Tribolium castaneum: one gene and its partner. The protein of the gene in region 1 interacts with the protein of each later gene in a pairwise test. Links are inferred from orthologs where the notes say so. Each region holds a gene or a part of one and is shown on either strand. Other genes may lie near its edges.

Region 1 (4,317 bases):
ATTTGCCTGACAATTGCCGCACTTGGTCGTCGACCATGAGCGACATTAGGGCCGGCAAAAATTTCGTAACGACCTGACTGTCCAGTTTGGGCTCTTTGAAGTCTTGGGAGTCGATCATGACCCAGGCACTTAGACCCAAAGCCAACATTCGCAAGAGCAAAATTAAAATCGTATTGTCCTAAAATATTCGTATAAAAATTATAATTTTGTTTCGAAAATTCTCATTATTTACCCTCGGCATCCCTTCTACGTATATGAGATGATGCAGGATTTTTATGGCCGACGTGGCCAAAAAATTAATGGCGTAGGGGTCGCATAAAGTCATTGATAAATCGCCCAGCACCTGCTCTTGGCCCCTCTTAACGTTATCCAAAAACCCTTGCAACTCCCTTGAGCGTTTAATGTCGACATTTTTTTCCCTAATGCAGGCATCAAGGCACCACGTAAATTTATGGCATGGATCTATCGAAATTATATCCTGAACTTCCAAATCGTGTAAGGCCATTAATAATTCGGCCCTCAAAGTGCAGTAATGCACGTTTCGGGTCCGCAAAAACAAAGTGCGAAGAAACTGGAGCACCATATCGTACAATTTAACACTGTTTCCAATCATGTGTGCCAACTTCTGGACGACTTCCCCTTGGCGCCGCACCTTGGGGGAAGGCCCGAAGAACTGGGTGCTGATGTTGGTGTGATCGAACAGCACGTTCTCTTTTTCGCTGATGTACTGACTCAAGAGAGGCGAGACCTCATCTCCGAAGAGCGACTGGTTGTCCTTCCAGATCTGCCGTTTGACTTCTGTGTCAGTGTCGTTGTACAGTTCCCGATCTCTAACTAATATTTTCAAATAGTTGTCGTCAATCTGTGGTGTGTTTTTCAAAATCGCCATCACTATCGGCCTTAAAGCCTTCACTTTGACCACAGGGAAACTCTTTACGAGTAAATCTTTCAGCTTCCTGTCCCTTTCGCGTCCTTCTTGCTTGCCGATTTCATTGATGTGTGCGATTAGTTTCTCTCGGAGTTCCTGAACCAACATCGTAATTTTTTCATTAAAGGGAAATAAATACAGCGAGTTGGGAACTTTATTCGGGAATTTTTTACTAATGGAATTTATGTCTACATGAATGGCAAACTTATCTCGCTGGACCTGAATGAGGGCACATAAAACACTTTATGTTTTGACGTTTTACTACCAAAGTTGGTTTTGTGAGATTACACGTTTATTTATGTATCTAATAGAATGTAAACCAACATTGCGTTTTATTACAAAACTTTTGTTCGTAACAATGCGGTTTAAAGCCAAAAACAATAAAATGTTTTTAAAAAAAGTACAATTACTGCAATCAGAAAAAAATCACAACAATTGAATAAGGAAATACGGTGTTAATACATTTTAATTGAAAATCAATAAATCCAGTTGTAAATTATGGAGTAATGAACGAAACAAGACACCAACCAAAAATGAGTCACATTATCGACCAACTCCTGAGCGCATTTTCATACAGTTTGCACCATAAAAGCAATTATAAACAGTTTTATAATTCTTATTAAGTAAAACCATGATACATTAAATACCATCTGATTTTCGGGATGTACTCGAGTAATAATCACATTCAAAACAACATTTAATTTAAATTTCATAATTATTATTATGAAAACATTAAAAACAACGTTGAATTTGACTTTTACCCTTTTTTCTAACTCAGATTTTCCTGAAACATCAATTTTTAGGAAAATGAGACGATTATTTTCAGGTTTTAGTCGTTGAAATTTGTTGAGTTTGAAAATCAACCCATTGAGGTCGTTTTAACACAAAAATGGAAAAATAACTTGTTTTTAAGCCCACTTTAGCTATTAAAACGTCGATTTTTTATGAAAAATACCCTATTTTTTATGTCCTTTTTAAAATGTGAGCCAGATTTTAATGCTAAAAATAAGGAAAACTAGGAAAGAGTGGGGTATAATGATCCCTCGAAAAATCCCTGTTTTGTAAAGATTTCTTAAAAAATATGAGCCAGGCGTAACAACTGAATCTGTGGTTTTTATTAAAAAAATAAATACATAGACAATAGAAAAATGACTAAGAAAAATCGGATAGTTTATAAACTATCTAGCTATTTTAGTTGAAACTGGGTTTTCTATTAGTTTGCAAACTAACCAGCTAGTGTACAAATTAGCCAAGTTTACACATTGACCGTAACATAGTTTAGTTTTAATTTTCTTTATTTGTTATTTTTGGGTAGGTATACGCCTTCCCCTTCACTGACGAAACTTATTGAACATTATTACTGTGTATGGTTTGTTTAAAATCAAATATATTGATGCCAGTTCTAGTGAACTTTAAAGTCCAACCCATCAGACATTGCCACTAATGAGGGGATTAATATTTAATGAGAATACTTTACCTCTACAACTGACATGTGAAAATCCAGTCTTCTCACCCCGTGTAGATCAAGTAATGGAAGCATTGGGCGTAATGAGGGTAAAAGTATCCCGTTTGTAACCTATAAGAAAGCGAATTTATTTACAAATCTATGGATAAAATCATGACAAAAAGTACCTGAAACTCTTCAATGGCTTTGAGCGGATCAGTGCAACTAGTTAAGGCATGTTTGAGGAAGGTGGGCCCGTGTATATTGAGGGCTTCCAAAGGGAAATCGTTTCTGGATGAAGACATTTTGCAGTACGAATCCTTACACTAGTAAAACATCAAATCGACGCAGTTTATCACTTAAATTCGGTGTTAGTATCACAGAGATTACAATTACACATCTCAATAAATATAAACACACAGCTTTCATAACCCATTATGAAAATATATTGTCAAAAAACACACCATTTGCTGTCAAAAGCGTCAAACAAAACAAAGGTCTTTCACCTATTTAAAATGCTGCGCTGTGATTGGTCGACGTCAAATACAATAAGAAGCGGTAAAAGCAGCACTATTCTAATAACTTCCGGTTTTTCAAAAGGCGAATTTTCAAAGTGACTCTGACAGTTGTCAGGAATTTTCGGCGATGCGTTAGGAGCATGTTTACATTGTGTAATATCGGGCAATTGGCGGAATTACGGTGATTTTGCGGTAAATTACGCCGAGTGTGACGACGTTAAGTGACGTAGAAATAGACGCTAGGTTGCACTAGTACGCAGATTTGGGGGAAGCCTATCAAAGCTTGTTGAAGAAATGGCATTCTTTTTGACACCCAAAGGCCTATAGTGCGCTAAATGTGGCTGGTTATCCGCCGTTCGAGTCGTAAATTCGTTAATTCATGGCTTTTTGGGGAGTTTCGTCGAGATTAATGTGAATTAACAACGTTACATGTATTGATCACCGTATAGGTTATGTTTCCAACTTTCATTAGCATCCTAGGTGTGTTTACGGAAATTCGCCGATTTGGCTTCTCAAGTGCTGTTTTCCCTAATTCTGGCCGTTGTTTCAGATATTCAATCATGGTGGGAGGTTCCAAGCATTGCACATTTTTGTTCATTGTTTCGAACAGCATTTAACCTTTTGGATTTTGATATCGAGGTAAAACCACGCAAACAATTCCTGCGTTCGGGTTTTGATTCGTTTTGCTTTGATCTAGGATTTGGAGGAGGCTCTCTTGACTGATGGGACGGAGGAAACCTCTTGGCTTCAAGAACTGATCGTGAGGCTTCTCAGTGGGTGCTTGCCGAACAATGAAATCTCAACGTTCAATTATCAGATGTTCCTGAGACGTCTCTTTCGCCAGAAATGTCAGGAACATGATCAATACAACCCATTTAACACAGACGTTGATTTCCAATTGTTACCTTTGAGAACAAAAGTGGACATTTTACATGCACTCTGTGATTTTCGTTTAGATGCTGATGATGTGCTTGACCAGCTGAAAAATTTAGAAGCAGACAGCTTGAGGGTTGAGCCCCTGGGTTATGACAGTAACGAATCTGCTTACTGGTATTTTTACGGTACTAGACTGTACAGAGAGGACTTTAAAACCAAGAATAATAAGAAGAAATCCGTGTGGCAGGTTATTTGTTTCACTGAAGACGATTGGTTTCAACTTAACAAGAAATTTAAAAAATCGACTGCTAAGTGTGAAAGAGAGTTACATCGTACTTTAAGTGAGAACTTCTTGCCTGAATTGCCCAGATTGTTCCGGGAAAAGGAAAGACTGGCCAGGAAGCGTCTGCTGGAAAATCAACCGAGACGCACTTCTCGACGTTTGAGAAAAGTAGTAAGAAGTTAATTATTTAATTTTTTTACAAGAGATTATTACAGGAAAATACAACTGAAAAAGAAGAAGTAACGTGTGAATCGCCGAAAACCAATCC
Region 2 (3,568 bases), about 6.4 Mb from region 1:
CCCCGGTGAGAAGCGTCTCGATTGAGGAAACGCCGCCTCCGCGTCCCCCTGACCCCATCTACATGCCCCCTTCTTCACAGCCCCCTGCGAGTTTCTACGCTTTGCGAGCGCAACAATTCGTGGATGAGGACATTCCTATGGCGCCTTATCGAAGGCGGCGTCATCGTAAAACCCCCGTTTCTAGGTCGAGTTCGGAGGAGACGCCGCCCCCGGCACGACGACGTGTGCGCTCGCCTGAGCCCCCTTCCATTCCCCAGCTGACGGGGCAATTGGTGAGGGCGTGCGGAACGGCAGCTAATTGCACGATTAAAAGACTGATTGCGCATATTCGGGATAATTTGATACGGAATGCGGATGGGCAACAGGATTTGCATGTAATGATGGTGATTTTGTTGGTTTTAATTGCGGGATTGATTTTATTAGCGGGTGATGGGAAAACGGTGCATCATCATCACTGGGAGTACTTTAATCCGCCGAGGGACATGTAAGGGATTTTTCAATGGATTTGTTATGTAAATAAATTTTTAGTCAAACTATTATTCAATTTTTTATTGTTAATACTATTATAATTAAGCGGGTTTTTTCTTAATAAATCACCTTACGTAAGTTTAGTCAAACATATCATCATACGACACTAAATTTCTCTTATCCCTGTGATTGCCTTTTTGAGAATGACTTGACGCTATAAAAATGTTGTATCAAGTTTATAGTTTTTATTTTGTTGCTTTTTTTACCTAGAGTGGCCCACGCTGCGCTCGATGATGCGTCATTTATTGGCTCTATTTGGGGCTGTCGTCTCGCTAGAGTGACTTTGAGCTGAATCCCCGAAACCATACTCCCATCCATCTTTTAATTTTTCAGTTAATAAATTTGCAAATAAGAAATAAAATAAAATAACCAATAATACACCAAAAAAATTGAATATTAATGTCACAATCACCTGTTGCTTTCAAATAAACAAGAAAATTAAGACGCAGAATTTTATATTTCTTAATTAATGACCGAGTAAATAATACGTCAAAAAATCGCCGATTTAGTTCGAATATGGTGTTACTTTTATAGTTTTCCGCCAATTAATAAATGTAACAATTTCTAAACCAAAATCACAGTTTTCCTCCCGAAAGTTTGTGAAATTGTGCCGAAAATTCAATCAGTAAAAACACAAAATTTTGTCAAAGTTGCTGTTATTTTTACCGTTTTCAATAATTTAAAGACACTTTTAAAGCAAAAATCTTACAGTTTTTGCGATGATTACATTATTCTTGCCTTTTTTTTCTAAGACTAGCTCGTTTGTTATCCAGAAACACAATTATTTACAAAATGTAAGAAAAACAAGCAAATTAAGCCGAAAATACTGTTCTTCACCTTCTTCACGTCTTTAAGCACATTTTTGAGACAAACACAAAATTCTTTTTTAATTTTTTCGTGTTTTCTCTTTTGTAACTCAATAAAAAACTATTGTAAACAATGACCAAAAAATCACAAATAAAAACCTACCTCAGCTATGGCCCGTTCGGCGGCTTCCACCTTATCAAACGTGACAAACCCGCGACTAAAACCCAAACATGTAAAACCCCACATAAAAATTGTACCCCCTCATACTTTTTCTCAATCTCCATTGAAATATTCACAATATTTCCAATCGTTGAAAAATGCTTCTTCAAAAACTCCTCCGTTATCTTATACCCTGACACATAAATCGTATTCCCTTGCCTGGGTTTATCCGGCTTTTCCCTCTGTTTCTCAGTCAAACCCCTCTCTTCCCTATCACGCGCATTAGCAAAAGTATCATACAAATTCTTAATCCTTGGCGGCTTATTTTCGGGGTTATCAGGCCCATCGTCCATCTGCACAGCCGAAAAAGGCTGATAACCACTCACAATTTTATCCGAAATCAGTTTTCTTTCCAAGCCTCTAGGCCGTTTAAAGCCCTGTTCTGGCTGTTTTTGTTGTTTGGAAATGGCCGGAATGGCACCGGATTTGATAAGTTTTTTCGCAACCTCACGAGCATCTCGAGCCTCCGCTGGCCGTTTAGGCGTAATGGGCTTTTCGGGCTCGGGTTTGGGGGCTTTCAGGGCTTGCAAAGCCTTTTTCTGAGAGGAAGTTAGAAAAGGTTGTTTACACCGTTCCACTTACCTTTTTCTTAAGTTTCTGGTATTTGGCTTGGAGCATGAGCTCCTCTTCAGTGAAATTTGCCGGAAAATGAATGTAAACCATCGTTTAATCAAAAAAAAACTTGTCCAATTTGCAAACTGAATGACAGTTCGATGAATAAACATCAACACTAACAGCGGTTTAATGTGCAAAAGGTCGAAAATCACAGTACTAGTTCATAATTCAATTAATTTTAATTGTTTAATTTAGATAAACTATTCACTTTATAACCAATTCCAGTCAGCTAACTCAATGTCCAAAATTTAATACGCTAGTTATTTTTTTAATTCACGCAATACTGTACTGGGCCACTGTAAATTTCGATATGTCACACGTTGCCACACAAAAAATGCCAAAAAAACTACAAAACAACCACAATTAAATAATGAAAAAACTGGCAAAGTTTTGGTATATTAATGAATGAAATCATGTGAAGTTCGTTTTTAAAACGTAAATGAGTGTGTTTTTGCGCCCTGTCATCTATTTTTTCCCATTTGTGAGGCATGCAAAAGTAAGGTTAGGCCGGCATGTGTCCACTTTTTTCGGATTTTTGAATGTCATGTTTGCTTTATTTGTCAAAACCTAATTCTGGAAGTGATTTTAGTTGTATAGACTGCTTTTTCACACTTTTCCGAGTGCATTTAGTGTAAATTAACGATGAAATTTTACGTGGAATCTGTCTCAAAGTGTGCCCAACGTTTGGGGACTCTTTCAGAGATCGATGCCAAGCCTTCTGTCTCGATCAAGACTCCTGCAGTAATGCTCCACACACAGGTGAGTCCCCTATTTGGTTAACTGTCCTTAAAATTTAATTTAGGGCGGTCAAATCCCTCACATTACACATGAGGTGTTTAAACTGGTCAGTAGGGACCCCCAGATCTTGCAAATCCCTTTAGCTGGGATGCACACGTTTAAAGAGGCGATGCAGTATTACGAAGGGACCATTTCCAATTTCATTGGTAGTAAAGACAGTCTGACTTGTCTCACTCTTCAAGACCCTTGCAATATCACAAAACAGGGGCACAATTCCACGTTAAAAGTGCCCATTTGGACGAAAAACGGCAAGGTTTATTACGACGCTAAAAGCTACATGGACGTGGTGGAGTCTTTCAAGCCTGACATTTATTTCTTGCTCTCTGATGGAGACACCAATATCAGCAGTTCGGAAAAACGCATTTCAAAATCACTCAGTAACACAGTCAGTTTCTACAAGGAGTGTTTGGAGAGACACCGAAAATCGCAAACTTTAGCCAATTCGTTTGTGATTGCTCCTGTAGTGGGGGGTTATAAACAATTAGCTCGGGAAAAGTTTCTCAAATCGATTCTAGCAGATGTCAAAGATGTAGGTGGGTTTTTAATAGATGGACTTCATAATAATGGTCCCGAGACCGAGTTTTTGGAATTTGCTGAAATT

What was found. The genes of interacting proteins can lie anywhere in the genome.
Region 2: the proteins of NELF-B (region 1) and Nelf-E interact in binary tests that used the Homo sapiens proteins (3 or more experiments, as listed by UniProt). The link is inferred for Tribolium castaneum from reciprocal best matches to the Homo sapiens genes NELFB and NELFE.

What each region holds. Positions count from the first base shown.
Region 1 is NC_087394.1:30,669,083-30,673,399, forward strand, and holds the start of NELF-B (negative elongation factor B), read right to left. Parts: upstream 2,848-4,317; 5' UTR 2,678-2,847; coding exon 2,561-2,677; intron 2,505-2,560; coding exon 2,406-2,504; intron 1,025-2,405; coding exon 233-1,024; intron 219-232; exon of another isoform or gene 179-218; coding exon 1-178. Other genes in the region: uncharacterized protein dikar, read left to right, coding at 3,343-3,370, 3,441-3,529, 3,588-4,217, 4,265-4,317. UniProt on the Homo sapiens protein: Essential component of the NELF complex, a complex that negatively regulates the elongation of transcription by RNA polymerase II.
Region 2 is NC_087394.1:37,091,889-37,095,456, forward strand, and holds Nelf-E (negative elongation factor E), read right to left. Parts: upstream 2,298-3,568; 5' UTR 2,218-2,297; coding exon 2,137-2,217; intron 2,094-2,136; coding exon 1,603-2,093; intron 1,553-1,602; coding exon 1,498-1,552; intron 847-1,497; coding exon 735-846; intron 683-734; coding exon 609-682; 3' UTR 535-608; downstream 1-534. Other genes in the region: titin, read left to right, coding at 1-488; queuine tRNA-ribosyltransferase accessory subunit 2, read left to right, coding at 2,812-2,928, 2,972-3,568. UniProt on the Homo sapiens protein: Essential component of the NELF complex, a complex that negatively regulates the elongation of transcription by RNA polymerase II.